Struthio camelus: one gene and its partner. The protein of the gene in region 1 interacts with the protein of each later gene in a pairwise test. Links are inferred from orthologs where the notes say so. Each region holds a gene or a part of one and is shown on either strand. Other genes may lie near its edges.

Region 1 (15,719 bases):
CGGGAGAGGAAGGGCCCGGCTGTGCCTGGGGACATGCTCATTTTGGTGGAGTTCAGGCCTGTTTCCAACAGCCCAGAGCGCTGGAAGGCGTCCAGCTCAAACTGAAGGGAGCGTGTCCCTTTTGCTCTTGGCACCAGTATCATTTCAGTGGCTTTTAAAAGTCCCACCCTTGGTGAAGCGGACGCCGCATGGTGAGGAGAACGGCGGAGGGTGGGGAGCTGCCCCCAGAGCCTCGTTTCGGCCGGGCCCGGCTCTCCCAGCGAGGCGAGAGGTGCTCTGAGTTTGCCTGCTGTGAGGGCGGCTTTGGTTTGTTCTGCTCTTCCCCTCTTTGCTCTCCCGAACGGAGCAAAGACCCAGGAGCCCTCGTGGCTCCAGCACAGCGCCGTGGCTGCACTGCTCACGTAAAACCTGCCTGCGAGGGCTTGTGCGTCCCTCTCCCGGCTGCCTGTCATGCCCAAGTTAGCGCTAAGAAACGAGCAGCATCGCTGTGGCGGTACCCGGCCTCTGTCCGTATAGCAACAGGCGGGGATGGCGGTACCCGGCCGGCTCCGGGGCAGAGCTCGACGGGTCGCGAGCCATCGCCGTACCCGAACGGGCTGTGACTGCCTCCGGGACACCCCGGGCCCCGTCGCCCCGGCTCGCTTCGACTGCCGTGCGGAGACGCTCTTCCGCCGACAAGGTGCTACCTGCGGGGATTTGCCCTAAGCTGTAAGTGCGAATAATGCTGTCCCTCCCGGCACGGTGGCGCTCGCGCCGGGGGCAGCGGGGAGGCAGCACGGTGAGGGACCGGTGCCCCGGCGCCGCGCTCACGCAGCTTCGCTGCTGGGGCTGGGTACAGCAGCGCGAGGGAAGGGAAAACCTCCGCGGGTTTGGGGTTTGTGGCTGTGCCGAGGCCGTCGGCTTCCTAGCCTGCGAGTCCTGCTTGCAGCCAGGCGCAAGGACGCAGTCGTCACCGTCCTTAAAAGCCGGGCCGCCAGGTGCAGCAGGGCTTTATCACCCCTCGCAGGGTCTCGGAGGGCTGGAGCTGGCCACAGCCCTGGCAGTAGCCGCCGGGAGCGGTGCCCGGCCCCGCGCTGGAGGCAGCGTTGGTCGTGCTCTCGGCCGGCCTCGGGTTTCGCCGTGGGATTTTGTGCGGCTGTACGAAACGCCGGTGGGTCCTGGAGGTACGTGTTACTCTGAAACTGAGGCCTGTTAGCTTTTGGGCCTCGCTCTCTGCCCTCGTGGAGCTTGTGCTGGTGCTCGCACCAAGGGTATAAAAAAAAAAAAAACCCCTCTAGTTCGGTAACACCTTGCGTCTGCGACCAGGTGGGAATAAGCCAAACGGAGGGCAGGGGCGCATCGGACCTTCCACAGGTCGCGGCAGAGAGGGACGAAAGGCCCAGCGGGTCCCGGTGGCTGCCCAGGAGCGTGGCTCTGTCCCCTGACCCTTCAGCCCCCGGCTTGGGCTGTGTCGGGCTCTGGGTGCGAGGCTCGGGGGGGGACGCCGGCCCGCTGGGACCTGCCACCTCGCAGCGAATGCGGCAGGTTCGGCAGGGCTCCCCGGCCCCGGAGGCAGGAGCAAGTCCCGCCTGCGGCTCTGGGCATCTTGCGACTTTCCATCCGTGCAGCGGCTGCAGCGCAAGAAAACGCCGCGGCGGAGGCAAGCGCAGCGCGGGGGCTCGGGGGGCGGCTGCCCTCGCCGCCGAGCGCGGCCGGCAGCGTCCCAGGCGCTGTGGCAGCGGCGACGGGGATTTCGTCCGTATTTCTGCCGTGTACGGTCAAACACCCCCTCCTCCTCTCGCCCTGATGCTGCTTACGCTCGGCAGCAAAAGAGAGGCTTTAATTTGTTAAAAAATATGAAGGATGCCAGGGAAGCAGCAAATCTGGATTATATCTGTGGGCATATGTGGGAATCACGGCAGGGGTGTTTAGCTCCCCCCTCCCCAAGCTAAGCTGGTGTTTTATTTGAACAAGCTGTTTTGTATGTCCGCAGCCTCGGTAATATCTGGGGCTGCGGGGAGACGAAGGTGGGACAAATCCCTTCTCGCACCAGCCCGCGACGTCCAGCCTCGCTTGGGCCGGGCGGATTAGGGAGGCTGTTATACAAGATCTCCCCGTGGTGGCACGGCTGAGGCTCTAGCCCACCCTGCGCTGGGTTTCCTCGGATGAAGGCCCCCCCTTCATTCACCCTGGGACGTTGCCGATGAGAGCGAAGGGACGCACGGGTTTAACCGGCCGCCGCGGCTCTGGGCCGGCCAGCGCACGGCTGCCCGGCGCTGCCGCTCGCTCGGAGCATCCCTTGCGACCGCAAACTCCTGTCTGGGGCCCAAAGGCTCCTCCCCAGTTAGGGAGCTCGTTTGCACGACTTCCAGTTAAGTTTGCGTATTAAAGTGGTAATTAACCATGTCATTCCCCAGGTTAAAAGTTGAATATATTGGGCAAAGCCTAAAGGAATAGGCTGGATCCTCCGCTTTGCACAAGCGTGTTTCTCGTGCTGGCTGCGGAGGGGGCGTCGGGGGGGGTCAGTAGCGCAGCCGGACGAGGAGTCCTTGCAAATGCAGCTGGTGGCTTTTATATGTGTTGGGCCACCCGAAATAGGTGGCTGGCGCTGCCTTGGCAAGCCCTGCTGGCAGCGGAGGGCCGGGCCTGGGCACGGGATGCAGCAGCCGCGGGGCCAGAGCCAAGGACCGAAACGGTGTTTTTCTCCCGCGCCGACGCCAGAGCCCCGGCTGACGCCCCGCAGCCCCCGCGGGAGGTAAGCGTGACCCTGTCTAACCTTCCGCCTTCGTGCAGCGTTTCCAAATCCGGCTAGATGGTCTCCGGCGGGGAAACTGAGGCACTTTCCCTGCCAGCGGTAGGGGCTGGTGGCAGGCGCCCGGGCTCCCACCGCTGCCGCTGCTGGCGCGCACAGCTCCCTGGGCAGGGCAGACACCCCCAGATTAAAACGGTTCCTCCAGCTGCCGGGGGGTGCGGGGGGCACGGCCGGACGCCTGGTTTCAGGGTGTCCTGGGGGCTCTGCCCTCTGCGGCAAGGGGGGCGACGGGGCTGCTTCCCTCCCGCCTGCTTGGGCCCCGGAGGCAGCGAAGCTCTCCCCCTCCCCTTCCCCGGGACGCAAGAGCCAAAGCGGATTAAGGGTCCCCCGGCTGATCACGTTTATTTCGTTATTTGAGTGAAATCCCTTGTAAATGCCACCTTCCCCCCCGCCTCCCCCTTGCCTTTATAAAAATAGAAGGCAGGGAAGAATTACAGATTTAGGAAAAGTTAATCGCGGGCGTCGCATGCAAGCTGTTAAGCTCTGGCAGCCCGAGCGGGGGGAGAGGCTGAGCCAGCGGGACCCCCGGCTGGCGGGGCGTCCCCCGGGGAAACCCTGCTCGCCGGGCAGGGCAGGCCTCTCCCGGCACGGCTGGCCTGCGACGAGCTGCTCGTTGCGCAGCCCCAACAAAGTGGCTGGAGCGGCTGGTGGTCCCCCCCGCTCCGCCGCGGTGGGGGATCTGCTGTCGCCCCTCGGCCCCGGGAGCCTCTGCAGGACGCGGCGGTGGCCTGAGGTGCCCGAGCTCGAGGCCGCTGGAAGTGGCGGCGCCCTTCCCGTCACAGTGCGGTGGCTCGGAGCCTCTCCGCCGGACGGGAGCGGACTTGACTGCAGGCATCGCATTGAGCTCTTCCCCCAGTTGAAGTGTTTCCAACAAATTTCAAGCAGAAACACCCGGCTTCCGGGCGCCCGAAGCTCCCCTGTCCCTGCAGAGTCCCCCCCGGCCCCGATTCGCCCTCGGGACCCGCGCACGGGTTGTGGGTGGGTGCTGGCCACAAGGACCCCTCTTCTTTGCATCTTGCAGGTCAGCCTGGCTCGCGGGGCGCCGTCCGCCGTCCTCGCTGGCCCCGGGCTGCCCGCGACCGGCGGCGGCGGAAAGTCAGGCCGGCAGACGGTGACTCAGACAAGAGCACCGGGAGGAGGAGGCGAGCGCTGAAGCGCTGGATGTCAGCGACGCGCTTGCCTGGAGACGAAGGCGCTCGGGGCGCTGGGTGCCGGTTGCCTGCGGCCGAGCGGCTTTGCAGTAGTTAAACGCGCTCGATGCGGCGGTTGTTCAGGCCTCAGCCCCGACGTCTGGCCGCAGAGGTCGGCCGCGGGGATGCGCGCGGCTGCTGCCCTCTCGCCCTTGCGATCTGCCCCCGAAGCTGCCTGCGGTGTTTGCCCTCTCCTCGGGTGCGAGGGGCTTCTGTTTGCTTTCAGGCCAAACCTACAGATGTGCATTAACGGCGTGTTAGTGCGTAGCCTTTGCGCTCAGCTCAAGCTCGGGGTTATGTAAAGTGGAGATTAATAGGACTCAGCGAAATAGAGGAGCACGTGGAGGGATGTGGTGAGGATGTCTTGGGAGGGGATCTGGGCAGATTCAGAGGGGGCAGAAAGGGGCAAAGTCTGAGTGAAAACGGCTTTTTTTTTTTTTTTAATGGCATACATCATTCCTGCACCAGCCAGCAGGTGAATAAAGACTGGGAGATAAAGTAACAAACGGCTATCCAAAGGGAAGGCAAATTTTTCCTAGGTTGCAAATGTACCCCTCCCCAACGTGCCTTGTTCCCCCGCCACCCTCTCCCAAAAAGCGAGGCGATCCTCGGGTTAAGAAAGGCTGGGGATTGTCCTAGGCTCCTGCGCGCGCCGCTCCTCGGTGAGCAGTGCGAGAGCCGAGGGCTGGTTTCCGGGGGCCCCGGCCGCAAGCCAGAGCAGCGGGACCCCCCCCGTCTTGCGCGGCAAGCTTCCCTCTCGCCGAGCCCTCGGCCCAGAAGGGCGGTCAGGTCTCCGGGAAGGGGTGGCAGAGACACCAAAACCGGCGCTTCCTTTGGCAGCTCCTCCGAGCAGGTGACGGTGGGAGAGAGGAGGCCGGAGAGGGAAAGCAACGGGTTGGGGGCACCTTGGCGCGGGAGAGCAGGGCCGGCGCGGCAGCCCCGCGGGAAGGCGCCGTCCCCCCGGGAGGAAGGCTCAGCTGGGCTCCGACGGCCGATCGAATCCAGCCGGGAAGGGCTTGCATGCGTTGCGAGATTCCTGGTGGGCTTCCTCCTCTCCAAGCCTCCTGCAATAACAGCAGCCGTTGCTCGGCTTCCTTTCTAGATAACCTTCTTCCTGCTGCCCACATCCTTATCTGCTGCAGACGGACTGGCAAGATGAACCGGAAAGCTGATACCTTATCTCCACCTCTCAAGGAGCTCGTTTAAGTGCTGGAATGTGTCGCGATGGTAAATGATCACTAAAATCCAAGCGAGCTGCATGGGCCCCACGGGGAGGGGACACCTAGTCAGACGGGAGGCTCGCGGGGCTACCGCCTTTCAGGGCTTGTCCTTCTTTTGCCTGTCAAAAGACGCCTGTCCTAAAAGGTTTAAACCCCTTTTAAAACACAACCTGTCGACTGGGTTTCTCACCGATCCGTGGCTTAACGCTGCAGGCTGCTGCCAGCCGCGCCAGGGTTCCCGGCGCCTCGGTTCACTCGTCGCAGAGAAGTACCGCGACGTGGTCCGGCCTCGCCGGGGTGCAGCAGGGGTTAACAGCCTACGTGTGATATCGCCACGAAACGTATTCCTCGCTCACCCTTTAATCTGGACTTGGATGGGGGGAGCAGTGAGATGCTAACACACCCATAAAGGTAAATGGGATTTGAGAGCTATCAGTCTAATTAAAATGAACGGGGCTCTGCCGCTCAGACAGCCTGCTGCACCGAGGTGAGACCTCTCCGGGGACGCAGGAGTCGAGCGCAGCTTCAGCTCGTCACTTATTTCCGCCGCCGTGAGCGGCAGGTACAGCAACAGCGATTGCAGACACCGGGGTCTGAGCGCTGTGACGGCAGAGGGGCCAGGGAAACCCGCCCAGCCGGGGCCGTGTCCTGACAGCTGCGGCAGAGCCACGAGACAGATCTATTTTGGTCCTGTCCTGGGTGGAAAAATAGGTGGCGGTGCCACCTGGGTGCCAGCCTGGATGCCCGGGAATCCTCCCTGTCGGCAGCACCGGCGGAGCTGGGGCAGGGGTAAAGGGGAGCGGGGCGGGAGGGAAACCCCCAGGCCGCTGGGTTGCGTGGCCCTAAAGAGCTCCAGACGTGACCACCCGGACCCCGGTCACCATGTGGACCCGGGAGGGCCGAGGGCTCGGCCACGCGTGGCCGCTGGACGCGGCCTCTGCCTGGGGTGGCTCTTATTCCTTCAGCGGCTGTTGGTACCCTGGCAGTGCGCGCCGCGCCGGCGGGCGGCTGGAGCTGAAAGTTAATCTGTGCCCCGTCGCCGACTGCTTTTCCACAGCCGTGCATAGGGAAGCGCCATCCCGGAGCAGCCCTGGGCCTGCCAAGCGCGCCAGGGGAAACGCAGGTGACCCGGCGGCCGTCGGGGTGGCACCACGTGCTTTTCGGGAGGGCTGAGCCTGTCCCCTGCCGGCTAGACCTAACAGCCTGCGGGGTTTTTATTATCCCTTGCAAAAAACTCTTGCAATTAAACAGCGCGGTGTGCTTTTCTGCAAGACCCTCCAAACCCTCTGTGCGTCTCGCGAGGACCTTGGCCCCGTCGGCCCGGGGAGCAGCAGGACACGCAGCCCCGACGCCACTCGCTTGGGCTGCGGAGAGGCTGCTGCAGGGAAGCAGCGCTGACAGCGAAGCCCGAGAGGCTCCTTCGTCTCCCTGCGATGCAATTTGGTTACGCTCGGGGTGCAGGGGGCTGCTCCGTCCTGACTGAGCTCACGGGGCCGAGCCAGGAGCTAGCGGGTCCCGGCGGCTGGAAACCCCTCTCTGGAGGTGGCGGGAGCCGCCAGGCCGGCGTGCCCTGCGCTGGTAGCCGCAGCCGCAGGGCAGCGCCGCGCCGCAGGGCTGCCGGGCTCGCTGCCAGCGCGGCGAGGAGCGGCGAAGGCGATGCGTTAAACCAGCACCGCGCGTCCCCCGCCGCCTCCGGCCGCAGCCCCCCGCCAGCTTCGCAGTTGTCCCCGTCAATGTGAAAAGCAAGAGCTGGCGGCAGTGGCGGGGGGGGGGGTTGGAAATCCATCCGAGCTGCTCGGCGTCCGCATCTTGTGATCCTGAAACCCAAGACCCCCCCCGACTCAGCAGGTTATTAATAACGCCCTGGCCGTCCTCCCGCCGCAGCGCCTGCCAGCCCGCGCGGGGCCTAGGACGCCGGCCCGCCGGGAGCGGGGCTGCGCTGGGCTGGCAGAGGGGTGTCCCTGCACCCGTCTTGCCATCCCCGGGGGCAGCACCCGCAGCCCTGCCGGGGAAGAACGGCTCCATCCTTATCCCGCCCCGGCCTCCTGCCTCTCCCCCGTCCTTGGCCGTTCTCCTTTGCTCCCCCGCTGAGGCCGACGCAGCCTCGTCCCTGCCCCGATGGAGCAGGGGACAGGGCCTGGGGGTGAGCTGGGGCAGGACACTGCGGTTGGGACAGGGCACAGGGGCTGGGGCTGGGGACAGGGGCTGGGGAAGGGGACAAGGGCTGGGGCAGGGGATAGGGGCTGGGGCAGGGAACAGGGGCTGGGGCTGGGGACAGGCTGAGGACAAAGGCTAGGGAAGGGGACGGGCTGAGGACAGGGGCTGGGGCAGGGGACAAGAGCTGGGGCAGCGGACAGGGGCTGGGGAAGGGCATAGGGGCTGGGGAAGGGGATTGGGCAGGGGACAGGGGCTGAGGAAGGGGACAAGGGCTGGGGCAGCGGACAGGGGCTGAGGACAGGGGCTGGGGCAGGGGACAAGAGCTGGGGCAGCGGACAGGGGCTGAGGACAGGGGCTGAGGCAGGGGACAAGAGCTGGGGCAGCGGACAGGGGCTGAGGACAGGGGCTGCGGAAGGGGACAAGAGCTGGGGAAGGGGACAGGGGCTGGGGAAGGGGATTGGAGCTGGGGAAGGGCATAGGGGCTGGGGAAGGGGATTGGGCAGGGGACAGGGGCTGGGGAAGGGGACAAGAGCTGGGGAAGGGGACAGAGGCTGGGGACAGGGGACAGGGGCTGGGACAGGGGACAAGAGCTGGGGCAGGGGACAGGGGCAGGGGACAGGGGCTAGGGAAGGGGACAAGAGCTGGGGCAGGGGACAGGGGCTGGGGATAGGGGCTGGGACAGGGGACAAGAGCTGGGGCAGGGCATAGGGGCTGGGGAAGGGGATTGGGGCAGGGGACAGGAGCCGGGACAGGGAGCCGAGAGAGAGACAGCATCAAGTTCCCCCCTTTCCGCCCCCTCCCTCCTGGTCGCCCTCCAGCCCTGCCCGCCCGGGCCCGGGGCCCGCGGGGCCGCGCACCGGCCGGCTGCGGCGCGGCGCCAGCCCGGGGCTCCTGCTCCCTCTAGCGGGGACGCGGCCGCCGCCGCCGCCGAGCCCCGCGGCTGCCTGCTCGCAGCCCTCCGGGCCCGCTCCGCCCGCGCCCGTGGGAGCCGTGCCCCGGGCCCCCCGCTGCCGCACGCCCCGTGGGAGCCGTGCCCCGGGCCCCCCGCTGCCGCACGCCCCGTGGGAGCCGTGCCCCGGGCCCCCCGCTGCAGCACGCCCCGTGGGAGCCGTGCCCCGGGCCCCCCGCTGCCGCCCGCGCCCGTGGGAGCCGTGCCCCGGGCCCCCCGCTGCAGCACGCCCCGTGGGAGCCATGCCCCGGGCCCCCCGCTGCCGCACGCCCCGTGGGAGCCGTGCCCCGTGCCCCCCGCTGCAGCACACCCCGTGGGAGCCGTGCCCCATGCCCCACACCACCACATGCCCCATGGGAGCTGTGCCCCGTGCCCCCCACCGCAGCATGCCCGCTGGGAGCTGTGCCCCGGGCCCCATGCCCCATGCCCTGCACGCCCCGCTGGGAGCCGTGCCCCATGCCCCATGCCCCATGCCTTGCACACCCCGCTGGGAGCCGTGCCCCATGCCCCATGCCCCATGCCCCGTGCCCCATGCCCCATGCCCCTCTGGGAATCATGCCCCATGCCCCTCTGGGAGCCATGCCCCAAGCCCCATGCCCCATGCCCTGCACGCCCCACTGGGAGCCGTACCCATGCCACTGCACACCCCAAGCCATCTCATGCTCTACCCCGCGCAAACCCCGTGGCGAGTTATGCCCCATGCCAAGCTAAACCTCTGTGCCGAGTTATGCCCCACGCTGTGTTGTGGCCCACTGTTAAGTCATGCCCCATGTCAAGTTAAAGCCCTGAGCCGATTTATGCCCCATGCCACGTTATGCCCCATGGTAAGTTAATGTCCCGTTCTGCGTTATGCCCCAGGCAAAGGGTCTTTGGTGGCTGGGTCTTCCAGGCTGAGACCGTGTCTTCCTGAGCATAGATATTTAGCTCCCGCTAAAATATTTAGGAATTGTGTTAATAATTAAAGGAGAGAGTGAACTCAAAAGGGACTTTCTGTGATCTCATGAGATGGAAGGGACAAATCTAGTCATGAGACAAACTACTCACTAAAGCATTGCATTATGAGGGAACGTTAGAGCTGCGGAGATGTTCAAGTAATGACCTTTGCTTCGGGGGCCCTCAAAGTGAACCCTGCAGCCTCTGTTCATGACAAGCGACCAGTTCTGTCTTTGCATGTATGCAGGATTCACTCGCTGGCCAGGCTGTGATCAAAGCCAAGCTTGTCAGGCACAGCCAAAGTCTCCTGGCTCGCAGCAGGGGATCCAGTTCTACCAAAAATCACTTATTCTCATCAGCGTCAGCACGTTGGGAGGCAGCTGATAGTTCACTTTGGCGGGGTGAAGCGAGATATTTTTGAACGGTAAAACAACAGCTGTCTTGCAACACATGGAGCTGGGGAATCAGATGGTCGTGATTGAAAGTTGGAACTGTGATCACAAACACATCCGTGAACTTGCATTCCTGCCACATCTGTGGTCATCATGACGGTTTCAAGGTAGGAAATAAAATTATGCATATCCTGAATAGTAGACATTACAAAATCAATTACTTTGACGTTTCTTAAAATTCCTTTGATAAATTTTGGGAAAATATGGATTCATCTGTCCTTGTTTTTATTTTTTGGGAGATATCTCCAGCTTTGTCAGTGCAGATCTTGTGACTAATTCCAGCCTGAAATATCTGGTTGAATTTGTCCCCAGAGCAGCTTGTAGTTTTTCATAATTGGATGCACTAAAGTGAATGAAATGTCATTTTGAAAAGACACCTGTTTTTGTTGCTAAAATATCCACATCAGCTCTGCAACGTTTTGGCTCTAGTGCTGTTTGGGACAGTTGCTGATCCTCAGATTTAAAGCCAAATAAAAGACTGATATATTGTGCAGTCCAGTGACCCCTTATGAATTGCTACAAAAGTCAGTCAGGTTCATCTAACGTAGTCACGCATTACCTTTCTCAGAAATATTCCTTGTGGTTTTGAGACAAGCTTTCTAGGCCTCTACATCAAATAACTGGATTTTCATATTTGTCTTGATTTTTTTCCCTAACCTCTTTGAAAAGCAGGATTTGACAGAGAGTAAACAAAGGTGTAACTACAAAAGCAGACACCCTCCTAGCAGTGTTTTTCAGCGTGTTCTGGGAGCAAGCGCTGTAATGAACAGGTCCTTGTCTGGTAAAGCTTCTTAGCATTTGCAGCTACATCTCCCTATTTTTTCTCTTTCTGAGTGTGTTGAAAACTTAGCATGTCACCAACAAACTTTGGAGTCTTTTGAAGAATATTAACTGCCTCGTTGTAAGAAAGATGTATGATGCTGCTTGAATTTTTCTTGAACCCTTTTGCTGTTTAGATAGTCAAGGCTGAGTGAAGGCTTCAGCGTAGATGCAGTGAAAAGGAGTTTGGGCTTTAAAAGCTGCACTAAGAACAGCCTTGCTAACTTCTGCAGATCACAGGATCTGCAGAAAAAGCACCAAACCAGGAGGAGCAGAAGGAGCGGCCTTGTTTTGCAGAGTTACACACAGGGAAAAACTGAAGTAATGGCTGATGAAGTGTCTCCAAAATACTTGCAGTGTCAAGCAACTGGCATTCGGTTCTCATTGCAGGCGAGGCTCCATGCTAAAGCCAGCTGAAACCAATTCACTTCTCATTGGAAAGATAGTTTCCTCCTTTAATCAGCCCTGTTTTAAGTGATTTCATTTTTAGTGCCTTAAATAGTCATTTTGTTTTGTCCTTCAGGCAGTCAGCGTTTTCTGACTGAGAGTCGTGTAGGTCCGCAGACTTTAGAAGGACAAACAATAGCCTGGCAAACAGAAATGCTTCATTGGCATCTTGTTTTTAAACAGAGCCTGCAATTCCCATAGGCCAGAGCAGGACAATGAACAGGAACAACTTCTACCTGATCCAACAGCTATGAGGAGCAACAATTACGTGAGTCTGCTCCTACCCAGGATAACTAGAAAAAAAAAAAAAAACCAGCAAATAAGACTGTGGCTGGGGGCACCCTATCTCCCCCCAACCCTGTGAGGGGCAACTGGAGTCAGTGGCAACTGGGTCCATCCTGCCTCGGCGGTGGGATTTGGTGGGCGGTGAGAATGGGAGCTGGGGGGAGATGAAGGACCTCTAGAAGTAGAGATTGCTGGACCTATTCCAGGCACCTCGAGGGAGGGGACCTCGAGAGAGCGGCCACCTGCCTTTGGGAGAGTAAGAAGGAAGCAGGCAGCCTGCCGCATAGCATGCGGGAGCAACGCAGCACGCGCCTTGCATGGGGCACTCAGACCGCATCCTTCAGCTGAGGTCTAGCCAGGGAAGAAAGAGCTAGAGACCTTCAGTCAACCGCAGATGCCAAAAAGCAGATGATACTCAAGAGGGAAGAGGACTTGGGTAACCAAGAGGATTGTTTCTCTCTGGTACGGAAAGCACACGTCATGCATGAACAGGGGGCTTCCCTGCTGCAGTTATTTACAGGATGGAGCAGGCCGGGGAAAAAAGGATTCTTTTCAGTGAAAACAGTGAGGTTCTGACATTCATCCTTTGATGCACAATGAAAACTTGGCATTTAGGGATTTTTGCTTCCAGAAACACCAGCCAGAACAAGGTTGCCCAATGGTTAGGGCCATTCAGGTAGAATGTTGGTCGAGTCTGTGGTTTGTCTTAACTATGGCTCAAGGTTTTTCCCGCTATGCTGTAAAGTAAATCTTTGTACATGTAATGCTTCAGTAGTTTCAGGGCCAGAGATGGACAGATTCAGAACAAAGACTTGGATGGACATCTCCCACGTTTTGGGAGAGGGCACCAAGGCTAGCCCATGGACTGTCCTGGGGACTTGTTTTAAACAGTAGCTCCATCTTAGACCTGAGGAGCATTTTTGCCAGAAAGTATAAATTTCCACAAAAATGTTATTTATGGCAAATATGACATTTTCTTATGATAGAAACACTGCTTTGAAAAACTTCCTAATCAGTGCCAGTAAAAATAGTACTTGACAGTTATCTACTCTCTACCCCATCAAAAAGAAAATAAATTTGTCTGATCCCCTGCTGTTCCTCAGTGTTTGTACAGTGACTAATGCAATGTTGAGATGCTAAATGCAAGTAAAAATGCTAAATATGATGTCCCACCAGAACACACTAAGAGACAATAATATTACAGTTTAGAATACTTTACGTTTGTATCCCGTGGCCCGTTACTAGCAGTAGCTAGGTGATATCTGTGTTCTCAATCATGTTTTCTAGCTACGATCAGGACTTACAGCCTTTGTTTCACTTTTTCCTTCTCATCACGTCCCACTTTAAAGCAAGCATTAGTAAGAGGGACTCTGCAGAAGCCCATTTTGCTAGCTCTGACTATATCCCTCTTCATGACCTAGCACACAGAAATAAGGCAGTACCCTGGGAACTGCTCAGCTATCCATACAACAAATGCTGGGATTAGACCCCAAGAAACTAGACAAACTGAATCTGAAAGCAGAGCTATCATAATTGCATTGCAAGACCACAGATGCTAAATCAGATGTACAGAGGGGCCCCATGCCATCAGTTAATGTAAGCGAGAGCAGGGTTGCAGTCTTTGCTTTCACTGATCAGATTCAAACCAGTGTGGGGTGAAGGCCAAAACTCCTAGGTTTTCATGTTCTTTTCCTATTCCCAGAATTTCATACTCTGCTTTAGCCTAGGGAAGTGAGACGTTCCAGCTTTCCTGCTCCTGAAAACACCTCTTTATTCCCTTAAAAACAATTTTATGGAAACATCTCTATGAATATTAGGCCTCAAACGAGAAGAGAAAAATAAACCTTTTATACCTGAAACCTAATCTCCCTTTGTTCTAGTTGAGGTCTGTCTCTAAAAGCATTTCCTTATATTTGGATAACACAGCATCATAAATGGGATTACAGAGAACTGCCAGAGCTACTCATGTCTTCTCTCCTGCATCACGTATATGACAGCTAAATTCTCTCATGTTCTTGCTGACTGGCTTTTGGTTCCTAAGGCCCTGTTCACTTAGTCGCAGGCTTGAATTTCCCCGTAACCATCTCGGATGAGCTAATGAAGTCAGTGCAGGCACGAGGCATTTCCTGATTTAGACACAACTGAATTTGAAATGGATTGTCACACTTCAGGGCCTCCTACTTCATCGGATTAGAAAGAACATTCTCCCATGGACAGGTTACGCTATGACTATCTACTGCCTGCTTCTTCTGCAGAGCTGATTGATGTTGGCTGCTGTCTCAGACAGATGGAGACTAGAAGGACCACGGCCTGATCCAGTGAGGCAAATGAATACTTCATATGTACTGAATGGCCTCTGGGTGGGGAAGAGAACAGGATAGCTTTGCTTTTTTCCTAACGGACTGTGGAGTTCTGTGAATGAACACCAGGGCAGTAAGGCCTTGTCTTATGCTGCAGGCTGCAGCTGAGCAAAGTGATAACAAAATCGCACAACAGCATGTAGCCTTCAGTTTGCTCTGCTGTACATCACTCTGCATGATGCAAGCCGCCGGTTGGGGATTTATAGAGGTAGAGCAGATGTTTGACAAAGCTGTAGAATATAATAGGAATTCTATTATTTCTAGGAAGCCTTAGACCACAAGACATTTCTATAGATAAAACTCTATACAATGGCTGAAAGCCCTCTGGAATGGTTATTTTCTATTTGACAGGATTCTTCACTAGAGGAAGGGTGAAGCATACAACAGGAGTCCTGCATTCACCTCTAATTAATCCTGGGAAGATGAAGCAGGAGGTTGTGAGTTTGACTCTTTTGTCCATGGGTTACTTGGCTCAGCTTTTTGGAGTAGGTCAGAAAGCAGAGTAGGAGTCCTTCCAGAATGGGTCCTGCGTAGAGTTGTGCACTGAACTTCATCCACATGAAACTTGCTCTTCAATCTCTGCCCAAATCTCTTCTCACTGTCCTCAGTGCTCCCTCACAGCCTTTTGTGGGTCTAATTCCACCAGCTCTAGTCTTACACCGGTTGTCCTGACTTATACACAGGCCAGTAAAAGGTGAGGCAGGTCTTTGGAAGAGCAGCATAGGAATTCATCACTTCATACCAAGGCCTGGGGGTATCTTCATGGACCGGGGATGCAATGGAGCCATGCTCTTCCATTTGGTGGCAGAGACTGATGATGTCTTTTCATTATTCAGATTATGCCCAGTTCTGCACAGAAAAGAGAAGCCCAGTTGTGATTCACTGCTGGGCCATGAGAGTCTACAAACGGCCATGGGGCCGGCCCCAGCACACGTGGAAAAGCTGTGAGTTTGAGTGTGGGGGCTGTGACGTACTCACCTGATAATGAGTGTACAATTGTCTTTGATTTGATTATTTTGGCTTCTTGATCTCCACACCAGGTTGTATTGTTTTCATCTTTAATTAGCACATCTATTCCCTTGGCCTTGGATTGTTGCCTTGGAGATGCACAACAGACCTTTGGAGACTTGCTCATTACAGTAGCAGGTGTGCATAAAGCCAACCTGGACAAGCCTGTGTGAGTCACCTGCTGATGGTTTGGGTTGTTGATGGCTGCATGAGTGTATGCAAGTGACCGATTTCCTGAGAGGCAACACTAATGCCTTTGGTTATATGTTGTTGTTGAGCGTCAATAGCACATAGTGCAAATGGTGCACTCTCCTCTCTCTGCTCACCAGCTGACACGGGCTGTGATACTACCAGGTCCCCCACAGCAGGGTGGCCAAGCGTGAAAAGAAGCAGCCCAAAGCAGAGACCACCATTGAAAATTTGGCTAGCTTGTAGCTTCTCTCAAGGAGGACACTGAGGTTTGGATGGGCAGGAAGCAAGTTAGAACTTCTATTTCTCTGTGTGTGTGTGTGTGCGCACACGCGTGCACACACACACGCTCACGCACACACACACACACACACACACACGTATCTGGCCTGACAGGGAAATCAATGGAGAAGGAAAACCAAATTCACCAGACTCTGACCAAATGCCCCAGATCTCTGAGTAAGTTAGTGTGAGTGGGAGTTTGCTAAAGCCAGGAAGGAGGGTAGGCTTTTCCATGTGAACGGTGTAAGGAGAGGAGCAGAGGGCATTGGCCTGCCGCCTCCGAGAAGAAATGCACTGCAGGGAAGATGAGACGAGACTTGAGAGGGGCAGGAGTAGAGTGGAATACTTTGATATCCAGGAAAGGAGGGGATCTGACAGCCAGATGATAGTTTTCAACAGTGCTGGTGCATCTCTTAGTAGCTCAGCGCCTGGCAACTTCAGTAGCCTTGCAGATCAGCTGTAGGAACATCACATATGGTCCAGAAAGCTGTTCATGTATTTCCTCCCTCTGCATTGGTCTCGATGACTGCATTTCAGATCAGACACATCCCTCATCAGCAGTAAGCCAGGTGCCAGGCCTTGCACTGTTCCTATAAGCCTGGGGAGATGGGGGAGGCATTCCTCCTAAAGCATTGCC
Region 2 (15,563 bases), on another chromosome or scaffold:
CATCCTTTTAACTTCATGCAAACTTCAAGACCGGTTTGCTATTTTCTGTGAGGAGACCCTCATGTAAGATTTTGGGGGGAATCACTTCATAAACAAAGGAGAGTTCAGAAGAATCAGTGAGACAACTGTAGCAGGAGAACATGAAGTAACATCAAGTCTGTTGCAGACAGAAACTAAAAATAAGCCAGCACGCTCAAGAAGAAATGATGGGGTTTATTTTAGCAGGCTAACAATGTTTGACAGCATTTAATGTATTAGGTAACGTGTTGTATGCAACTAATAATGTCTTGTATTATAATTATGTATTCATGTTAAAATTTATTTCTATTCTTTTTTAGCAATTTCTTTCATTTCCTTTTTAGAGAACAAAATGTCCTACTGAACTTGTGAACACTTGTTAAACCAAAGAGAGTAATAAGCTAAAGAAAAAAAAAGAATCAGTAAGCATCAAGAGTACAGGTGTCCAGGATAGATCAGCAATAAATGCATTGCTGAGCTCGTTCCAGGGCCAACTGGAAACCAGTGCTAGCCAGTGACTTGAAAGTCTAAGAAGAAAGGAATACAAACATAATTAATTGAAAATAGTTAAAATGTTAATATTGCCCTGATTTGAAAGGAAAGTATTCAATAAATACAAGGGCCAGACAGCATGATGAATAGCTCAAAAGAGCTGAAGTGACTGGAACCTCTGGAAAAACTCCAACGGAGTTCAGCATCTCTAATCTTGAGGCCCTATGCAGCTGTATTCTGACAAAGCTGCTGTTTGGTTTAGCTTAAGGAACACTATTGTGCACTCGTTGATAAATTAAGACCAAATAAGAAACTTCGTGAGGAAAGAGGCTTTTGTAATAGAAAAAAAAAAATCGCGTCAGTTGGTATTATCCATGAAGCAAAGAGGCTGGGAACAGGAATACAAGTGCCATAGCTTGCCACTGCAACTGATGTGTAAGGGGGCTCGATACTGAGGAATTTTATAGCAAAATTCCTGTTTCTGTTTGCTCAGAACCACCCTAAACTTCTACAAGACAACACGGATCCATTTTTGAGAAGAAAACAGGATTTGGTTCAGACTTGGTTGTGTAACTGCTTGCCAGGCTGAGGCAGAAGAGGTAGCATCATCCAATTTGTTGCCACAGAAGTAGGCAACTGCTTCTGTGACTCCATTTATGGCCTTGCTTTTCTTCTTCTGGATGCCTCTTCCTTGTCTGTTGTCCTTGAGCTCCCTTCACACTGAATGGCCAGCTGGTATCATCCTGCAGCAAAACACTCACGCTCTGCTGCTCCCCTAAGAGCTGCTGGCACTGTATTTCCTGCATCGATAAAATCTTCTATGGTGCCTGTCTGTTCAGCTCCAATTTGAGCCTTCCAATGCAGCACTGAGGGACCAAAGAACATTGCTGCCTGTTGACACAAAACTCCAAGGCATTCATAAAATAACTCCACTGTGGACAGGAAGCATGATCTAACCCAGTGAGTAATGACAAAGCACATCAAAAAGTGACTGGTCGCACCAGAGAGAAACACAAAGTCATTCCCCTAGGGCAAAGCTTAAATGTTCATTCAGCTCAAGGCTTTTTTTTTTTTTTAAACCATAACAAGTACTAGTATACATCTAAAGTGCTCTCTTCTCTGCTTGCCAAGGTTTCCCTTGCTGCACTTTCCACCTGATGATTATTTTAAATTCCTTTCCTGAATTTTTTACATGATAATGAAAACCAAATTCAACACAGTTACAAAAAAATTTAACAAAATTTAACGAAACAAATTTAAGACATTACTAACTAATAATAAAAGATTTGTCCCTCCAAAGATTAACAAGCTAATGCTTGGAAGCCTGAAAAACGATGCTATAAAGTGAATACACATACCACGAATATATACTACCAGAACTAATACACAGGTGAGTAAATAAACTTATGATTTAAGTGATTTCCTAAGGATTACACCCTTCCAACCTCCTCCCTTAACTCTTTCCTATGGCCTCTACTACCATAGAATCTGATTGCCTCAAAACATTATGTATTTTAACAGTGGGGAATAGCTAAAAATGTAACTTGCAACACCATGAGAGCGCTTAGAATCAAATACTACTAATATACTAGCTCACAGGAGCAGAGCACAGTAGAGATCAAAAGAAAAATCTGCAAAGTACAGCAGATATTCAAACAGCCAATAGAAGAATTGGCCTTAAAATCCTACTGTGTTTTGAAAGAAAAGCAAACTAGCATGCTAGTTCCTTGGAATAAGGAAAAGCAAAGCGTTTCTCACGTGTCATTACTACGTTTTATTCTCAGTTTCACAACTTTCTGAGTTTGGGGTTCAGCCTACTAAAAAAAAATTCTTTGTAAGGTATAGTGGATTTAAAAACTGTGTTTACTAGGTTTTCAAAAGGTAACAACCAGAATTTTTGTAGAAAGCATTTTATTTCTCTACATGGCTTCTGAAGCTCAAAAATTTGGCAGCTTCACTTTCAAAGATATTTTTCTCTTTATTTCTTTTTCTACCGTGTCTTCTTTTTGCCAGTGAATACAAACATTAGGAAAAAAGGAGAAAAAAAAAAAGCACACAAACAAAACCAACTCATTGTATACTTTATTTTTGTTCCCCCCAAAATTCTGAATGCCTAAAAAAGAAGAATCCCTGAAAAATTTCAGTACTGCCCCAAATTTAATGAATTATTGCTCTGCTGAGTGGCAGCAAAGTGTGAGAGTTGTAGAAACTTCCACAGTCAAAAAAGTTAGGAGATTAAGAATACAGTTTAGTTTAAGGAGAGAAATGAACAGCTACGAGCAATTCTCACAGTTAACATTGAAGTATGAAAAATATTCCCTTTCTGCCTCCCTTTCAGAGTAGAATCTGGCTGACTTTCCCAAAGATCAGTCATACCTTCTTTACTCCTGCCTCTCCCTCTCACCTCTCCAACCATTTCCTGCTGCACTTCAGCTCCAATGTGGAAGTGTCTTACAGTTGTACTGTATTCCCTCTACCTACTCAAAGCCTGGCAGGAGATACAGGGAACCAAAGATGAGGTAGCTTCATCTAAACTGTGTGGCATTGCTACTCCAGATTGTTCAGGGAAAAAAAAAAAAAACCATAATGAAGCTCTTCAGGAAATATTGCTATCAGCTTGTGACTAATATATGTTCCACCATTCCGCCATTAATTACCTTTAAAGAAGGATTTGTCAGGCATTGTTATGAATCTAATGGAGCTCATCCCACTTTTTAATCGGTGGAAAATCAGCCGTCAAGGAACACAGAACATCTAATTTTCCAATTAAATTCTGCCATAGCTTGGAACATGTTTATATTGCACAGAGATGTGCCTAGCTGCCTGAATATTATTTGGATAATAGGCAAAAGGTATATTCCTGAGCTATTTACACTAGCAATCATCTGTTTCTTCTCTTCATGTAAATTCACTCAAATAGGTTGATTTTGTCTACCAGTAACTGATAGCAAGAATGACAAATGAGGAGCATGACAGATCCACCTGAAGGATGCTGCAGAAGTGAAAGATGCTGAAGTGAAAGATGCGTGACCCAATTCTAATAAGTGAGCAAAACCAGATTATCCTTACAATTTAATGGAAACTAGATGATAACAGCAACAAAGAGTTGCCAATGAAGAAGATCAAGAGGAACACTTGGGAGAGCCATGTGGCCAGCCCTCGTTCCGCTGAGCTTCTTGCCACAGCTTTACAATGAGGTTGCCTTGTAAATAACAGCAGGTGTGTGACGGTGATATCATCTGTTCACAGGCCACACTTTGGATACGATTCCTCTTCTCATGTTTTCACAGAAGACCATGCCAGCAACATGAAAACAGAAAAGAATATACTATTTTTGTGTGTGCCTGCCTTTATTTTTCACCTTAAAATGATGGAAATTAAAGCTGAATCTATGCTTCGGTTACATTCCGTAAGGGGACAAGGGGCAACAGAGAAGATTCCAGTATGGTAATGTTTACCCCTCATGCTCGAAGCAGAAAGGGCTGCAGCAAATCCCTGTAAAATCTAAATAACAAAAATGATCTTCTGTAATTTACACATTAACTCTTCCGAGATTTCAGAGCATTAACCAAGCAGGGAAAAGGTATCCTTACTAAAACATAGGTCCATCTTTCACTCAACAAAGCCAAAACTAAACAAAAACCTGTTATACTAAAGGTTACAATGTAACTCTCCAAGAGTAGGCTGGGTTTAGATGAAATGATTCTGTTTAGTTGATATCATTCTGAATATTGCTTGCATCTGTATGGTTTAACATAGACCCTTTTTCCTACTGGTTTTGTTTCTAAAAGATCGTGATTTCTTTATGGATGGGTGGAAGCACTCTTAAAGTTACCAGGAAGAAGAAATAACTCACAATTTCCTAATGCCAAAGAAAAAAATGTTCCTACAAATATGGAGTTAGGGATAGAGTGTGTGTGTGTGGGGGGGTACACAATATATATACACACAAACACACCTTAATATACTCTATATTTGAGTCTAACATAACAGGTACAGTCTAATAGCTATAGTCCCCCATACCTTAGGATTCTGAAGAAAATATAGTTCTAACGTTCTGCCTACACCACAGTCATGGCTAGGATGATTCATAGTCACATAGTTTCTATATCAAGACTACTGAACATATACAATCACATGGACTTCAAAACAGCGCTCATCACCCAAGTACCCTGGACAAACCTTTCCCTCTTCCTTTCAGATAGATGGCCCACTCTCATCTCATGCTGCTTGCTTTCTTCTCACACTGCTTTCTGAAGTTCTGTTCCTCAGGATAGCCTTTCCATCTCATCCAGGGACTCTCAAGAGCACAGACTCGCCAACTCTGTCCATAGCTATACCATATGGCAAACAGAATTAAAATGAAACAAACCAATTATCACTTGCAAACTAAGCTAACGCACAACCTCAAAGTATCTCCAGGTGCTGAGGTTTGATGCTATAACCTTTCTTCCTTACCTCGTGGCGACTGACCAGGAAAACGACAAAAAGAAATTGGACTAAACATTCCAGGGCAGTGGCCCAGTCTGTTGCTATAAATCATGATATTCTATCAGAATGACAAATGCAAACCTCAACAGTTCTTGACCTTCTGAAGACAGGGATGACTCTCTTTCTAATGTAACTAAAGAAAGGATGATTGAATTGTTTTGTATCTTTCAAGATGACTAGAATTTTATACTTTCACCTCTCAAAACCGAACACAGAGATGTTACAAGTAAGACCTTAGAAACTCCGGAACTGCTACCCGTTACGTCAGAGTCTTTCCTAACTTGAGCAGAGTTCTAGCTACTTGCATAACTCAGTAATAAGATATCAACAGATATCAACATCATACAAGTTAGTATTAGGCCCACTTTGGGCATAACCCAAGTGACAAGACAATAGCTCAATTTCATACGATGTATCCTGTTGCTTAGCATGAGAAAAACCATAGGAAAGGCTTCCTGACTGTAACAGAATTGGGGCATAACTTGGATATGCTTCATTCAGCACCCCAAACTATCAAATAAGTTGTTACCTCAAGCAATGACACAACATATTATGCATATGTTGGCAGCCTGATCTTGATTCATTTCCTCATGCGCTCTTATACTGCTCACATCAGGTAACCATAAATTGTGCGCGTTTGTGTCAAGAAACCTGCAAACAAAAGGCACGTCCAAAGGAAAAAAGAGAGTGACCAAACTAAATCTCTGCAGGTATTTTGATAAGAAAAAAAAAAAAATCAGGTTTCTAGCTAATTTATCGACAGTTATTTCCATTCCTTAAAGAGTCGTCAGACAGCTATGTAGTATGTTAAAACATAATTTCGGTGACATATTATTAATCACTGAAAATTCTTTGCTATAAGTTCTGTTACCGCACCGGTTCCCAAAGACGTCAGAGAAAATTATATTCTACCAATTGCCAATAGTTGCCATTTCTCCCCTAGTACCATTATCGTTCACAAGAGAGGTGTTTTCTTTTGTTCTGGCCTAAGAGGTTCCCAGTCCACCATACTCTATTTGGGCACTGAGTGAGCTACCATTTGCTATATTTACACGGACAGTAAGACCTCTGAGTATTACGACAACATAAACAATAAGAAAGCAGCACAACGCTGATTCCTGTTTCACCATGAAACATTATGATTTAGTCATTTGAACTGAAACAGATATGAAAAAGATTATCATACATATTTTTCCATATTATAACCAGCCATCCAAGAGACTACAAGACCTTGGGAAGGGCAGGGGCTGTCTTTCTGTTCTGTGCAAGGTCTATAAACAGTCCCTTGACCCAGGGACATTAAGCACTACCAAAAAGCTAACAAGAACCATCAACTGTTGTGGTCATTAGATATCCTACCCATTTGAAAATATATATTTTTATATATGCGTGTGTGTGTGTGTGTGTGTGTGTGTAGGAAGAAGCAGAGAAACAGCTGGAACATAAATATTAGAAATAAAAAGGGCATTCCTTTCATCAAATCTGATTTCTCATTATGGAAATGCCAAAGCCTCCCTAAAAAGTACTATCCAGCTACTGATGCCTAACTCGGTATAAGCTAGTGCTGACCATGTGCTTATTCTGTGTGCTTATTCAATAAAGCTTCACGTTCCCACGTCCCCTCGGCAGGGCACGCAGGGGAACGACCAGCCTCCCTGAAAACCACCGGCTGAACCCTTGGCCCCACTGAAGTCAACGCAAGCTCTGGTCGCGGGGCCTCAACTTCACCCAGCCCAGCTGGAAGGAAAACAAGAGTGAATTAACCTGGTAAAAAAACACGGAGAGAGCAGCTGCAGCGAGCAGGTGGTTGGGTACTCTCTGCCCGCGGCTCCGCCCGCCCCTGCGCAAGGGCCGCGCGTTTGGGCGGCCGCGATGGCGGCTTCTCCTCGGGCTCGGGCCCGGGCCCAGCCGGGCCTGGCCTGGCCTGCACCGCCATTTCCTCAGCAGCCGAGCCCGGGCGGACCCCGAGCCCAGCCCGGCGGCCCGAGGCAGGCCGACAGCTGCTGCGCGGCCCCCCTCGCCGCCGAGCGGGCTGCACCGTGGGCGTCTCTGAGCGGGGAGAGCCCGGTCCGGTCCAGCCCGGAGACGGCTGCGAGGGCGCGGAGGACGCTCCGGCCGCGTGGGGCGAAGCGGAACCTCCCTCAAGCCGGCAGGGGGAAGGGCCGAGAGGCGATGGCGCCTCCCGCCCTCCTGCGACTGCGCCTGCGCGGCCGGTGACGCCCCGCCCCGCCGGCCCACCTGCCCCTCCCCCCGCCTGCGCCTCGCCGCGCTTTCCCGGCGTGCCGCGCGCGCGCTCGGCGCTGACGTCACCGCAGCCCGGCGCCCGCCGCCATTGGAGGTGGAGGCTCCGGCTCCGGCTCCGTCGCTCGCTGCGGCCCGACGGCGGCGGCAGGCCCGGGCGGTGCGGCGCGGCGCGGCGGGGCGCGGGCCGGGGTTATGTGAGGAGACGGGGCCGGCAGGGCGAGGCCAGGCGCGGCACGGCACCGGTATCGGCGCCGGCCTTCCGCGCCCCCCTGAGGAGACGCCGAGCGGCGGCGGCGGCGCGCGCCAGCGGCCCCCTTCCCTCCCCTCGGCCCCGGCGCCGTCCCCTCCCCGGCCGCCGCCTGAGGGGAGAGGCGCCGCCGCCCCTCCGCCGCGCCCCGCCGAGCGGCCCTGCCTTCAGCCCCGTCCCTCTCTGCTGAACCACGGCGGCCCTGTACATGAATTATGTCTGCCACAAGCGTTGACCCTCAGGTAAGCGGCGAAGCGGGGCGCAGGGCCTGCCTCCTCCCCGCCCCGGGGCGGGGGTCCTCCTGCAGCCCGGGACTGCCCCGGGCCCGAGAGAGGATCTGCCCCTGCCTCCCGGCTCCTTTTTTTGGCTTCATCTTTCTTGTTAGCTAACCCCCCAGGCACCTCGCGTTCCCGTTGCCTTTCCAGAGCCGTGGCCATTTCTGAGGAAGGCCAGTGCCGAATGATACCTGAAATGAACGCCTCAGCCCCGGTTTAAACAAACCTCGATTTGTCATTAGCCGTTTTTAAGAGACTTTTTCTGTCTCTATAAGCTGCGTGCTTTGCAGTGACGATATGAGCATTTTTCCAAAATTAACTTTTCTTTTCTGTCCTCCCCCCTCCCCTTTTTTCTTTTACTCTGTCATGTGCTGTGGCTTCCCAGAGACCGAAAGGGCAGGATAATAAAGGTAAGGAATATGCTGAGATTTTGCTGTTTAAACTGTTGTTATAACAGATAAATCATGCAGGTAACTGTTCATAAGCAGATAAGTATTGCTGTCAGTCCCCACAGATAACATCTGGAACAAAGGAAGTTGTGCTTTGTTTCAAAAATAATATTAACCGTTACTCTTAGGAGCACGTTTGCATCCTACTTATTGCTACCGAGTTTATAGTGGGAAGGACTGTGGGTTAGCATTAAGCATATTTATAATAACGCTCTTAATTTCCTTAAAGTAAAGCAGTTTTCAACATAACAAAGTCACAGAGACCTCATACTCAAGATATATTTTCACATACTTTTGCATACTGTGTTCTTGCTATATAAATACAATTTTGTTAGTGTACTGCTGTTGACATATATATGCTAATTGTCATAATACGAACTAAGTAATTCGAAGTCTACAAACTAAGTAATTTGAAATAACAATAGTTAACCCACTTCTGATGAGGTAAGACTTTTATGACAATTCCTGTACTTAATCTGAAATTAAAATTAAATAACAAGTATTTTAAGTAAATACTCTGATTATTATTGTGATTGCTAATAAGTGTGTAACTGTTGAGGCTTAGAAACTAACCAAATCTTGCCATTCGTTTAGGCTGGTTACGATATTTAAACAAAAAAAATTTAAAATTCAACTGCCTGGAGTCTCCAGAAGTTTGACTCTATATCCCGTGTTTATCAGTACTCTCTTACATGCTGTTGTCGCTGACGGACTTTCTCAAAAATCTCATAAATTCCCAAACTTGTTTGTTAAACATCTTATTTCATATAGCGTTATTTTTAACTTAGCTGTTCTATGAAACAGTTGCTTTATTTTCCCACCACATAGTGTGTATGATCTCTTTTTTAAATTTAAAACAAACAGTGGAAATTGCTTGAAGTGACCTAATAACAATTTTGCTTTCGTATAATATCTTTCAGGAATGGGTTTTGAATGCTTTTCACATTAATTTATGCTTATATAAGCCTTTGATTAAGGTATAAATCTCAGTCTCGTGGATACCTCCATGAGAAAGGTGAGACTTGTGTTTTGCTTGCAAATGTTGTCAGGATATCAAGATAATCCGCAGTCATTTTTTAAAATTAAATACAACCTCACTTGATTTTCTTACTTTGGCCAACTTAACTTAAACGAGCAATAGATAGTACATGCAGGGAGAGTTGTTAATTAGTTTCTGAGATTTCTAATCGTGGACCAGGGCCTTAGATGTGATTTCCCAATATTTTTCAACACATTCTTGTCGAGGATTGTTGTTTTTTGGTTCAGAAATAGTTCACATGAGTTGATGATTCACTCATCTGTAGAAAAATTAAACTTTTTAAATTTAGAGGTTTAAATTAAATATATTCAAATTGTTACAAGCAGTAATGCAAAGATTATATGGGGATGAGTATGATCCTTTTATCTTTGAAGATTCTTTGTGCCATGGAGAAGAATATGACTCTTCATAAAGTAACATTAGGGTGGAACTGTTTACTGAAATGCTACTAAGCAGTGTTGTGATTTGTTGTAACTCTCTTCTTCCAGTACAAAATGGTTCATTACACCAGAAGGATACAGTTCATGACAACGACTTTGAACCTTACCTTTCTGGGCAGTCAAACCAGGTTAGTGTATTTGTAATTTAGTTTTGTTTCTTGGGCATGCTGGTAGGCATCCTACCAATTTGTAGGATTGTATTGAAGGAGCAAATTACTTAAATAGAAGCAGAAAAATAAATGACTAGCATGTTGTGTTACTTAGTAATGCAACTAGCGTTTGTACTCCCAAAGCTAATACAGCTACGTGTATCCAGATGGCCACAAGTGAAAATGAAGTTAACGCTCCAACTCTTGTCTACTGATTGCTTCTCAAATTGCAGATTATTGATACAGTTGGACTATGACAGATGATTTGATCTTGCAGTTCTTTGATAGATGAGCTACACATGAGACTCTGGAGGTTCTGCTTTTGGAGAGTCTCCTGGTTTGTCTTTAAAATAAGCCTGAAAATTACTGTAGTTGAAACTTATTTTCAGTGCTTTCTAGAAAAGATTACAGAGCGATTCCACTTATAACCCATCAGCAAATATTGCTCTTCCTTTGTGTCCTCTGAAATGCCTTTAAAATGTGGTATTTTTTAAGAGTAAGGCACTGGAATATGATCTAGTTCATTATCATGTACATCACTAAACATCCATGACTTAAATATTAATTATAATACAAAATATCTTCTAGTTCAGGTAACTTCTTATATCTTTAAAATGAATAAAATGTCTAGGAACTGGAAGCTAAAAAGAGGTTTCATTTCACAAATATAAAATACAGTGTGAGAAAGAGACTTAGCAGAGGCACGCTGTTATTTCTTGGCAAAAAGGCTAAGAGGTATGTCTTAAATGGGACACTTCAATTCAGCATTATGAAGCTGGTAGCTGATAGATGCCACTGTTAATATTGGTGACATCATTAAGCTTCCTTGCAGAAGAGCATTTTTCTACGCACTGAAATAAGATAGTATGTAATATGACTTACTCTTTCATGTGTGGAAATTGTGACTGAATCTTGAATGTGAACTCAAGAGCAAACGTTGTCAATTCGTATACCGTGAATTAGGTATTCTCCAGGCATATTAAACACTGTGTTAGGGCAGAAAGATAGATGGAACTGTGTTACAGATTTAGTTTGGATCATAGCAGATTACAGGAGGCTGCAGATTGCAGTGCAGTGTAGAGATACCTGAGCTCATCTCAGTCCTGGAAGCAGTCTAGACACACCAGCGCGGAAGTCAAGGCAAGCATATATATGATAACATGAACTGTGCTCTGAGCTCTGCGCTTTGAGGCTTCTGGTTACTGAGCTGCGCTCAGAGGTCTTCATCGTTCTCTGCTGCATAGACATATTCTCCCGACTTCTGCAAAGTTAATGTGATTTCTTGGGGGAATGTGTCCTGTTCTCTGTAATTGTTATACTGTTGCAAGTACAAATGCAGGAAGTTTAAGATGAAAAGAAGTGAAATTCCCTTTATGCAAAATCAGTTTTGAAAGAAAACTATGCATGTTCTTGGTATCTTTCTTCTTCTCTCTGTGATTTCTTGTCATCACACTTCCTTCTATTTGTATGTAATTTTTAATTATTTAAAACCAAGATATATTTTCTAATGTAAATACATTTAACCTTCTACTTGATGTAGAAGAAAAATAGAACCATCTCTTATATTTTAATTCCAAGTAATGTATTTGTTAGCTCTCAACAAGCCCAATTGTTAGGATTAAATGTACAAAGTTGGTACGATTTATAGAATTCCATGATTTAATTTTCATAGTCTAATAAAGTGATGATACATGAAAGCATAGCTCTGCTGACTGACCTGTAAATGCAACAAGAAACTGACATGCAACAAGAAACTGTGGCACGCTGCAAAAAAATGATTGTGTAGGTTGTCTTATATTTTTAAGTGGGAAGCGACAGTAGCATTAGTTAGGATTCTCTGAGGTTCTGCAATAAAGACAACCATATCTCTGAACAAAGCCTATTTCTACTTACTCAGCCAGATGTATGCCCTCTAAAGTTACTGTATAATATAGTTGATTTAAAAGAAAAAAGTTTGAAGCAACTGAATTTTGAAAAAATAATTAAAGAAATTAAGAACCTTGCTGATAAACCCAGTATACTAGACATCAAAGATCAAACATAGGATGATGATACTGTGTTAAACTTAGTCTTGTAAAAATACAAATTAATCTTTAAAATGAGTATTAAGCATATGAAATAATCAAATGTGATTTGTCTCCTATCTCTGTATAGAAAACTGTACCTAGTTAAGGGCGGCTGTCTTTTTCTTTGCCAAAAAAAGGTCTAGTATTTAAATAGCAGTAGTTAATGCAGATCAAATTTGAAGTGTGATAGCTGATTGTTATTAAGCACACTAAAAGTGTTTCTCAGTGCAGAGGGAACTGAATGAGGTACAGTGCTCACATAAGATATACTCAAAGTAAGGAAGGTATCCCAGATGTACTCTCATCCAGAAGCAGAAGATTTTTTGTGAGAGTGTATCATAATACAAGCAAGCAGAGTACTCGGGGAGAAAGAAGGATTCTCTTCCTAATTAACACAAAGATTGCTTTTAAAAAGCATGGAAGAAGTGCAGAAAGGTCAAGGATAAATTTGTTGAGATAAACTGCTGCAGTGAAGGACTTCCATCAGGGTTTCTCTTACACTCTGTGGCCAGTCAAAATAGATTGAATGTTTTGTAAGGATGTCTGCTGAAACTTTCCCTTAATCTTGTTAGAACCCTTGTGGAAACTTTACAGGCTGTGTGTACAGAAGGTAACAGTCTAAGGAATCGTGTCGAATCACTAAAGAAATATTGTGGGACAAAATACTTGCCTTGTCTAGGCTTGTTCTTTTTGATCTTAAACTACATCTGTAGAACGTACAAAAGTAGTAAGTATTAGCTAGGAACTATTTACAGCTCCCCCTTCCACCAGCATTTATTGTTACATTTTTCTGATATTAACACAACAAGATAAAACACATAGATACCAATCTCAAAGTGACTCAGAAAAATGATGTTTTGGTATGCTAAATATTGACTCTCTTAGCTTGAGAGACTTAGAAAATTTAATACATTTTGGAGAATCATCTTATAGCAAGGTGGGTTGTGTACCTCTTGTTAATGATAGAACTTGCACGTTAATAAAGGCAACAAGAGAAGTGGTAGAGGTGATATGTCTCTTGAATCAAAAAAAGATAACATTAGATTTAGGCTATTTAAATTTCAGTAGTTTCTATGGTGTGTACATATAGGTCTTGGCGACTTTTTATGGAAACGTTCTTTACATGGAAAGTAAGGATGTTGAACTAGTCTGGCTTTTGGGTTTTGTGGAAGTCTGTCATCACTGAAAGATGAGCAATAAAAATGAATCTAATGTATCAGGGTATTATGCTTATATATTTAGTAAGAAGTTTCTTAGTTTTTCTGACTGAGGTGAGAAATAATCTTGTGTTTGAAAAAATTGCTAAAATGTCAATGCAGTTTAGCTGACTTTGTGAAATATGTTTTTTCAATTTTGGAACCTTAATTAAGGTTTTACAGAAGTCTTAGTTCCTCTTACTAAAAATCATCTTTCTCTGTGAGTAAGGGAAGATTAGCTACTGTTTGACTCATTAACAGGAGATGTTGACCTTCCCTCCCCCTCACTGTAACTCTAATTACATTTAGAGTTTCATTTTGGAAGGTCTCCAGTATCTGTGTTTCAAGTTTTATAAGGAAGAATAATACCTCTTTTAGAATAGTCTATATTTGCTCTTTTACATTGCTAACTATGAGAAACGTTATAGAATACTTCAAAAAAAGGTGTCAGTTGAAGATTTGGAGTGGAAGGAAAGACTCTTCAGGTCTAAAAAGCGGTTGAGAGGGAGAAAAGAGAAGAAAAGCTAGAGCTTTAAAGAGGGATCTGCTGGTTTATAACAGGTCAGTCTATTTCATAGAGTGGAAAAGATGGGCGGTTTGGAAGGCCTGTCAGGAGCAGTCCTGCACACTTAAGACTTTACTACTGAGGGAAGAAGAGACTTTTGCTGAAGCTTGAGTGGGATCAAAGTTTGGATGGCTTGCTGGCATATATTGCATGCTGTATTTACTTGTGTTTATCTCTAGCATACCAGTCACCTGTAATCTGAGTTTCTAGTAATTAGGTCTACTTATACCGAACTGGGCACACTTTGTATCTGATCTCACTGTGGTCTTGCGTCTGTGTCAGAAGGAGCCTTTCAATGTTTTACCACTTGAGGTATGTCTCGCTTGTTAGGAGCAGTTGGTCCCTCAAAGCAATTCAATAGTAAGGACTGTAATCATGTTTTCTATTATATATGCTGTTTTATTAAAGCAGTTTCATCTAAAACTGTTATGCAACTGTCTTCTGGCAATCAGAAAATATTTGCTATCACAAGTGCTGTGTGATACAAAATATATTCTGTTGTTTAAGTGCCTTGAAATATTTTGCTATATTGATAGATTAAAACATTCTAGATGAAGCCACTAAATACCCTGTAGTAACGTAACTGAGCTTACATGGTCTCAAAATCTCAAGTGCTAAATTTACTGTGAGGCAGTACTCCTGGACCAAATTTTAAATGTCCAGATACTACGTTTTAGCCATGAATCTTTCTTTTCAAATGCAAGAAACGCAGCTAGCATGGACAGGAAGATCATGCTGCTTTGATTTATGGAGCTACAAATACTTTAACTTCTTACTTGCTTAAGGTGTGAAGAGTGCATCTCTGGTGTAGAAGTGAGCAGGTTTCAGCAGTACCCTTTTAAATGGACAGAGTTTGTGGAATAGCAAACCTGGAGCATGAACTAAAAATCTTTAGCTAGAAATAAAATTACTTTGGCCCTATCATTCTTTTCTGTTTGATGCACAGTGTTGTGATTTTTTTATAAACGATGTTTTTATATCTGAAATTACCTTTTTTTTTTCTTTAACAGAACAGTAGTTATCCATCAATGACTGATCCCTATCTGTCCAGTTATTATCCACCATCTATTGGGTTCCCCTATTCTCTCAGTGAAGCACCGTGGTCTACAGGAGGAGATCCTCCTATCCCATATCTCACCACCTATGGACAGCTCAGTAACGGAGATCACCATTTTATGCATGATGCTGTTTTTGGACAGCCTGGGGGTCTGGGAAATAATATCTATCAACACCGGTTTAATTTTTTCCCTGAAAATCCTGCCTTCTCAGCTTGGGGAACAAGTGGATCCCAAGGACAGCAAACTCAAAGTTCAGCATACGGGAGCAGTTACAGCTATCCACCTAGTTCACTGGGTGGTACCATTGTGGATGGACAAACAGGATTTCATAATGACACATTAAATAAAGCTCCTGGAATGAACAGTATTGAACAGGGAATGGTTGGACTTAAGATTGGTGGAGACGTTACAACTTCTGCTGTGAAAACAGTAGGTTCAGTTGTCAACAGTGCTGGGATGACAGGCGCCCTCTCTGGTAATGGTGGATCTAGTGTAAACTTGCCAGTATCTAAACCAACCTCTTGGGCTGCTATAGCTAGCAAGCCTGCAAAACCACAGCCCAAAATGAAAACGAAAACTGGACCTGTAATTGGAGGAGCGCTGCCTCCACCACCTATAAAACACAATATGGACATAGGTACTTGGGACAACAAGGGTCCCGTGGCAAAAGTTCCTGCCCCCCAACAGATACCTTCTCCTCAGTCTGTTCCGCAGCCACAACAACAAATTGTTCAGCCTGTTCCAGCTCAGCCTCCTCCGTTGACCCAACCACAGTATCAGAGCCCTCAGCAGCCACCCCAAAATCGCTGGGTAGCTCCTCGCAACAGAAATGCA

What was found.
Region 2: the proteins of PRRC2B (region 1) and YTHDF1 interact in a two-hybrid assay, tested with the Homo sapiens proteins (2 studies listed by BioGRID, with this or other methods). The link is inferred for Struthio camelus from reciprocal best matches to the Homo sapiens genes PRRC2B and YTHDF1.

Annotation. Positions count from the first base shown.
Region 1 is NC_090961.1:6,034,923-6,050,641, reverse strand, and holds the start of PRRC2B (protein PRRC2B), read left to right. Parts: upstream 1-9,429; 5' UTR 9,430-9,799; intron 9,800-15,719.
Region 2 is NC_090959.1:16,632,877-16,648,439, reverse strand, and holds the start of YTHDF1 (YTH domain-containing family protein 1), read left to right. Parts: upstream 1-7,570; 5' UTR 7,571-7,707; coding exon 7,708-7,734; intron 7,735-8,152; coding exon 8,153-8,177; intron 8,178-9,743; coding exon 9,744-9,823; intron 9,824-14,681; coding exon 14,682-15,563. Other genes in the region: BIRC7 (baculoviral IAP repeat-containing protein 7), read right to left, coding at 4,693-4,730.